Coturnix japonica: one gene and its partner. The protein of the gene in region 2 purifies or fractionates together with the protein of the main gene of each other region. This does not show direct contact. Links are inferred from orthologs where the notes say so. Each region holds a gene or a part of one and is shown on either strand. Other genes may lie near its edges.

The links.
Region 1: the proteins of STRADB (region 2) and CAB39 purify together in Homo sapiens (affinity purification with mass spectrometry; 3 studies listed by BioGRID and IntAct, counting the BioPlex papers as one, with this or other methods). This does not show direct contact. The link is inferred for Coturnix japonica from reciprocal best matches to the Homo sapiens genes STRADB and CAB39.

Annotation. Positions count from the first base shown.
Region 1 is NC_029524.1:4,189,820-4,193,643, forward strand, and holds part of CAB39 (calcium-binding protein 39), read right to left. Parts: intron 980-3,824; coding exon 861-979; intron 1-860. UniProt on the Homo sapiens protein: Component of a complex that binds and activates STK11/LKB1. In the complex, required to stabilize the interaction between CAB39/MO25 (CAB39/MO25alpha or CAB39L/MO25beta) and STK11/LKB1.
Region 2 is NC_029522.1:9,978,111-9,981,934, reverse strand, and holds part of STRADB (STE20-related kinase adapter protein beta), read right to left. Parts: intron 3,668-3,824; coding exon 3,568-3,667; intron 2,423-3,567; coding exon 2,301-2,422; intron 1,863-2,300; coding exon 1,754-1,862; intron 1,214-1,753; coding exon 1,090-1,213; intron 630-1,089; coding exon 458-629; intron 39-457; coding exon 1-38. UniProt on the Homo sapiens protein: Pseudokinase which, in complex with CAB39/MO25 (CAB39/MO25alpha or CAB39L/MO25beta), binds to and activates STK11/LKB1.

The DNA of each region.
Region 1 (3,824 bases), on a different chromosome or scaffold from region 2:
ACACAGGAGATAAAATGAACACTTGAAAGAACATTCCAAGAACATGTTTTTGTGTTTTGTTATTTGAATATTGATGAACATTCTATCCTAAAATAACACATTGGGATACCAGTTTACAAACTTTGCTTATTAATGCTAATAGAAATGTGGGCAATTATTTTTTATATGGAGAGAGCATGTTGTCAATTCATAAGAAAATCTTATTTTAACAAGAAAGCTCTGAAAATACATTTCTGCTTTCACATTTGAGATCCAAAACTTGTGGTGTGCAAACATGTCTTCAGTGTGGCGCTGCTCTCCAATACCCAGCACCAGAAAAAATACAAGAAGAGAGGAAGAAAGAGTAGCCTGGCACTCACTGTGTACCCTGAGTCATCCTTTGTTTGGTCCTGTGACCGCAGGAGTATGAATCACTACAAATAACACGCGTAAGGCAAGCAAAAAGCAGGGAATAGGACGGGGAACTGGAAGGGACACTGGTTAAAAGATAAAACAAACAAACAAAAAAAACCCCAAACAAACCCACCACTTAATATTTGAGAAATGAGTAAGTTCGGAAGGAAATAACTTCAATAGGATGATATAATACACCAAAAGGAGAATGTTTGCAATACCCCACTAAGAATAATTTAAGTTACTATCAGTTCTCAGTTTTCAGCCATATATCATGCAGAAGTACATATCTGGTGTTTATTACTCAGATTTTCCTTTCCTTAGGGGAAGTAGCCCTTAGACAAGAACAACAGAATCAAGCACACCACAAGGGAAGAAAAAAACATTTCAGAACTCAGTGCTTCTCCATGACACTAAAAACTTCTGATTTCATTAAAAAGTATATTCAAGCCTGACAGCATACATACCCTTTTAATAGCATGAACAATATATTCTGTTGAGTGCAGATGTATTCAACTGTGGGAGTTCTTGTACCAATTTGCCTTCGGAGGATGTTGTTGAAGATTTGGGCGACATCCTTTTTGCCCTGTCAGAAACACAAATAGTTCAGCACAGTATTCAAGGCCTCTATCCAAATAGTAATTACACAGTATCACCTCATGCATTCATACCAATGTCCTCAACATTCCATTACCCACTCCGTTCTCTGGGAAGGCACAATGCCACCATCCATGGTTCGTTAAGGCACTTCTGCCTGCGGTGTTAACATTCTATTTAAAACTGACACTTTTGGAGGAAAAACCATTAGTTAAGAACTACAAAGAGACCCACTGACCTAAAATACAAGTCTCACATTTTTCAACAGACACAGCAGCATGAATGAGAACCAGATGCTGGAATTCAGCACAAATTATACACACAACATTAGCACCAGGTAAAGATGCCAAACTGGTATGGACAAAAAGCTGATGATAAACATGAGCACTTTCTCCATCATTCACATACATCATTTAAAAGCCAGATCTGTGCACTTAACTTGCAATCTGAAACTGCCAAAAAGATAACTTCGAGGCTATGTCCTGTTAGCTGTAACCCAAAATATACCCAGGCAAACCTGTGCTACAGCTGGACTTGCAAGTAATGCTGTTAAGCAGCTCCACAGGAAGGATTCCTGGATGCCATACACACAAAGACCAAACACAAAGCATTTTTCTTGACAATCCCTATCTACCCGGTATCATAAATTCCATGTGTCACATTAACAAGTTATCAAGTAAAATTCAAGGTATAATTAATTAGCAACCGTTAGTCAGAGCTAGTTCAGTTTTCTAATCAATGTAAGGAAGACTGTGTAAGGAAAAAACCCCAAACATTTGTAACAAACGTAGGAGGGCTGCAGTTTTCCAAATGGCATGTTTGTGAATTACCACGGGCCATTTGAGGGTTTGTTGTTTTCAGGATATAAGAGTTTGTTTGTAAATGCTTGTTTTCTCAATTACAATTCCGTTGCAAGCCAGCCCAAAGCAACACCAGCACTCTTTGTTCTGAAATGAGTAGAGCAGTGTTCCAGGCTGTTTTACTCAACCTCCACATAATACAGACATCAACTCTCATTCACTAACATTGTCAATTTTGCTCTACATCTCACTATTTCCTTTGGATTCAGCAGCAAAAACAGCATTTCTGTATTATTCACCTAAGTGAACTGATAGCGGTACACGGTAATTCCAAGCCTAGTTATTGTTAAGCAGCACACACTGCTAAGTGACTTCATGGCTAACAAGGGCAAACAGGCACCGGCCCTTGTGCCAGTGGTCACGACTGCAAGAGGTGAGAGTACAACTGTGCTGGCATTGTCTTCCCAGCACAAGGATTCAGGCTCCCTCATGCAAAAGGCGTTTTTGTTTGCTTTATTTTTTTCCCCCCTCTCCGTTTCAAAACCAGCAAGAACAAAGAATACAATTCTACAAGGGATGTCATCTCTCCTATGGGCACACATGGGGTGATAGCTGAAAACTCCATAGCTTTGCTAAGTAGATGGTTTTGTGCACTGCTCTACTTGGAAAGAAATCTTCCAGGCACGAATATCATTTTAAACAGGTCTTCCAGGCCCAGCAAGATTCTTAAAGTCACAGTTTCTAATTACAAGATTAAAAAACATGAAGTTTTTGCCTGTGTTTGTGGTTTTTTTAACCATTCTGTTCACATTCAAATACATGATACTGTTCAAGAGTCTGAGTAAACGGTCCCTTCTCTGTTAGATGTCTTCAAGAAGAGCAGAGTTTTGACCAAAAAAAGATGGTATTTCCTTCATCTTTGACTAATTTCAAGCTTTACAGAGGCAAAGGAAGTACCAAACGCTAAACTCAACCCTCAAGTTTAAGAGCCAGCAGGAAATAAAGTTTCTATCTCTCTAATAGAAAAATCATTTCAAATACAGTAAATTCCAAATCACAGAGTTCTGGGATATGAACACCAATATCTGATGACTTTGTATTAGATGGGAAGCTAGTGCAGGTCTGGGGCACAGGTGTGTTGACATTAATTCTAAGAAAAACAATAGCTGGGCGGTCTGCCAGACCCCATCCTTAAAAAGCAGACAAGGCCCAGCCTGGAAAGCAATGTGAATGACTTGTTTCTCAAGGGGAAAAGATAATATCCTTGTGTAACAAAGTAGCAGAAAGTCTAAAGCAGGAAACTACTTGCAATCTTCTTAAGTCCCCTTAGAATAAAATGAATAGCTCTCTTTAATGAGAGCAAGCTTGTACAAACTGTTATCATTCTTCATCACCAGCAGATAATGAATGTTTCCTTCTCTAAAAACTGAGCTGAGTAAACATGAAGCTGATAAGAATCTAGAGGTCAGCAGAATCCAGATGACGTTTCATGATTTCCTTTCTTTGGCAATTAAAGGCTGTCATATTTCAACACTGTATCTCAACTTTCCCAGGTCTCCTTGCTTACTTAACAACCTGAATGTATTATGTTTGCTGTAAACATTTGCATGGGTAGAGGGGGGAAAATAAAATACAACCATATTACAATTGAACACAAATCAGAGGCAGTTATGGGTGGGGTGGAGGGGCAAGAGGAAAAGAACAGGGAAGAAAGTTATTATTTGGGGACTGTCATGCTACAATAGGACTTGAAACTGTTCTGCTTGCATCATGAACAACTTGGTCATGAACAATAGTGTCTTTAAGCAATCTTAAGTGGTATGGCCTTTATGGTCAAGGCTGTGGAGTGCGATACATGGGCTTTGGCTCCTTTCCTGGACAGCCACACAGTTCTTGTGGGACCTTAGGGAAAACAGAAAAATCCAATTGTATTGCAATTCCTTGTAACTAAATGGGGTAGTTTCTCTCTATGGAGCTGGGAACTGAATTATTCTATGTGATGTGATGACAAATGTCAGACAGAGGTTTGTATGG
Region 2 (3,824 bases):
CTGTAGATATCGGACTTCATATTATACCCAGACAAATCCTGTGGGAGAAATAGAACTTTACTGGACTACTGAAGCCATTGATGGGTGCCAACAGAAACACAAATACCAGTGTCAAGACACAATTCTAAAATTGTGTGATCTACACATCTAGGATTGAGGCAGTTAACAAATTGAAACAGGCTTTTTTCCATAAATGTGATGTTGCACTGAAGACAGAATCTGCTCTAGTTTTCAGGAAGACAATGAGGCAGAGACTGAGCTGTAAGCATCACCACAGCTTTAAATCCTATTCTCTTTAGGGGAAATGCAAATTCAGTTCATGGTTGTTTTTGTTTTTTTTTTTGTTGTTTTGTTTTTAAGCTGCAGTTCAACAGATTCTATTGCACTTGTACAAACAGGTATAACTCGAGTACTTCCTGTTAACTTGGAATAAGAATGAAGTGTATTTTACACTGACCTGTCTCAGTAGTTCAGGGCTCAGCCAAGGAAGTACAGATGTACTAAACTGGGGGAAGTCATACACCACCTTTGACTTTTGTCCATTGTTAACTAAACTGTAGAGGTTGTTTAAGCCAGAGAGAGAAACCAATCCATCCCCTGAAATCAGAATGTGGCTAGCTTTAATATTCCTGTAACAAAAAGTGGTAAATTTTAGTTAGACAAATTAGTCAAAGCACTATTAAAGTAGAAATATGAAAATCTTTTGTTAATGTATATTGAGGGGTTTACACGCAGTTCTGTTTAGCAGGCTGTTTTCATGGGTGGTCTTCACTTAGCATGAGCTGTCTATTTAATACACCCTGAGAGATGGTTAGCAAGAAAAACTGACTGCCAGACATCAAAGAAGGATTTTTCCATCCCTGCAAAGAGGGTAAAGTAATGAAGAATTTAACATCCTGCTATATTAGTCAAAAACAAACAAAACAAAACAAAAAAGAGCCCTGCTTCTGCACTGTGTCTGCATCTGCCATAAGGAATATATAGAAAAAGGAAAGGAGACAAGTGTTGAACCAAATATGGGTTTTGAAGTGAAACTTAATTCCTAATAATGTAATTTGATTCTTGCCTATGGCACTGACATTGTTTTACCTGTGAATGTAGCCATTCTGGTGCATGTAATTTAATCCTCTGATTGCACCAAACAGAATGTTTCCTATCAAAGCTTCACTCATTCCTTCAGGAAAGTAAGTCTTCAGCAGGTGTCGAGCAGAACCTGGGAGCAGGGGGAAAAAATATCCTAAGCCAAACAAGCTACCTTAAACTTGCTTTCTATGCCTCCTTCATTGTATATGTTTGCCAGAAGAGGTATTCTCACCTTTATATTGACCATGGTGCATCAGGAACACTTACATGGATGCAACTGAAGCATCCATCAATCACAAGGATTGCACTCATGTCATGCTTGCTAACTGAAAGCCTATGCTAAACCTGCACTGAAAGCGACAAGTTTTCTATTCTGTAACATCAAATGCATCTCTCTCTTATTACTCTGTACTTTGTGGGTATTAGGACTAAGTGAAATGTAATGCAGATCAAATGTCAATCTTTTCTGGGGAGGAAGATGATATACAGACTTATCTAAACAAGTTGTTTGTGGAAGTGTGTCTGTTGGGTTTTTTTTTCTTTTCCCTCCCACCACCTCCTTCTCTATGAGTCAGGAGATTCTTAAAGAAAAAAAAACTCTTGTCAACCGCATAGCCCAAATGTCATCAGTCCTTTTCCTTATTCCAAAATTGCAGTTACCAGTTCTTACCATAGGCCATGAATGGAGAAATGACCCAAAGCCAACTACCAGCTGTAAACACTGTCCAAAGCGTCATTATGTTGGGATGCTGGAAAAAGTGGGACAAAACCACCTCATTCTATGGAATTAAATGAAAATGGATGTATTAATCACAAAGCATCTGCCTTACTAAGAGCATTAATTGTGTCAGTAATCAGTAGAAAAAAAGTGTTTGGTGTATTTATACTTAATTGCATGTGATGAGCAGAGCTGCAATAGATATCCAAATAGCTGGTAAGTCATTGCATTTTTCTGAACTCTAGTTTGTTCTTAGTCATAAGTTATGCTGTTAAATGCAGAGCACAGAATGTGTTTCAGAGGAAGAGCTGTTAAGTTCCATGAGTATTTCTAAAACACTTGTCAACAGTTTCTTCAGAAAGCAATCTTTCAAATTTATATGTGCTTCTTCTATTCCTTTGATGAGAAAATTTGAATTCAATCACCCAGTAAAAGCATGAAGGCTACCCTACTTTACTAAACCCTTATGTGTTCAAAAGTGAAAATGCTGCTGCTTTACCTGTAAGGCTTTCAGATGCTCTTCTGAGCAGCTTTCTAGGTCTGTGATCCTTACGGCAACTTGTGTGCCTGTAGGGGTATGCCGTGCAAGGTAGATTGAAGTTAAGTTGTTGAATCTCCTTCCTGAAACCAAAAGTCAATACCTTAATATTGGAAAATGTAGTAAGTCACCATATAACTTTCTTTATAGTTAGAGAACTTTGCGGTTCTGAAATTGCAATGGAGAACAGCATGGTCTTTTCTTTAAGCACACCAACAACTTAAGTAGCTGGGGTGTAATATATCCACAAATTACTTAGAACTCTGTTCTGCTATTTTTAGAGCAACAAAGGACATTTAAACATTTATCAGCATCAGTAATGTATCTGTTCTAATGTTTGTGCTCAAGGGGCTGCTAATGTAAATAGGAGAGACATGAACCTGCTAGAAAGCGTCCAGAGGAGGGCCACAAAAATGATCCAAGAGATGGAACACCTCCTCTGCAAGGACAGGCCAAGAGAGCTGCAGTTCTGCCTGGAGAATAGAAGGCTCCAGGGAGACTCGATAGCAGCCTTTCAATATCTAAAGGAGGGCTACAGGAAGGAAAGAAGGGAACAGACTCTATAGCAGGTCTATTGTGACAGGAAAAGGGGAAATGGTTTCAAACTTAAAAGGGGAGATTTTGATTGGATGTAAGGAAGAAATGGGTTTGTTTGTTTGTTCATTTTATTTTTTAAAGCAGGGGCAATGAGGCAGTGGCACAGGTTGCCCAGAGGTGGTGGATGCTCTGTCCTTGGAGACATTTGAGGTCAGGCTGGATGGGGCTCTGAGCAACCTAATATAGGTATAGGTGTCCCTGATCATTGCAGTGAAGATGGACTGGGTGACCTTTAAATGTCCCTCACAAATCAAACAACTCTATGATTCAAGGCTTGTACAGTGGGATTCAGTGTAGCCATTGTTAAGACAATCAAATCAAGTAGCCAAATGACAGGTTATGATGTTACTTAACGTTGTATTTATTGTACGCATGCCACAGATTTTAGGCAAATTATGTCCAAATGCACAAACATCAAAAGAAAAGTTCAGATAACTGTTAATTTGTCTTATATTTTAAAGCATGCACTAACTGAAACAAGATGATCGGTATTTTTCTCAAGAATAGAGGATTAAGTTTTAGTCAGCTGATAATACATTTTCCAAACTTAATATTTGCTGCAGTTAGCAATAGCTACAGAGAGAATGCGTCTGCAAGAACAAGAAATATTTTTAAGGCACAGTTGTGTTACCTATTTCCACCTGCAGTTCATAGTGAGAGACATCAGAAGAGCAAAATAGCATTTCATTCCCTCCTTTAGATGGGGGAATCCAGGCTAGCTCTGAATCAGCCTAACAGTGGAGAAAAGCAGAGTTCTTAGTAAGAATTACTATGTGCATTTATGGTTAAAGTTAATACATCAATAGCATTAACTGGAATGCCGTGATCAAGTACTGGAGCCAGAATATTCAAGCTGGTGCTTCTGCCAGTACGCTGAGACTTAAATAA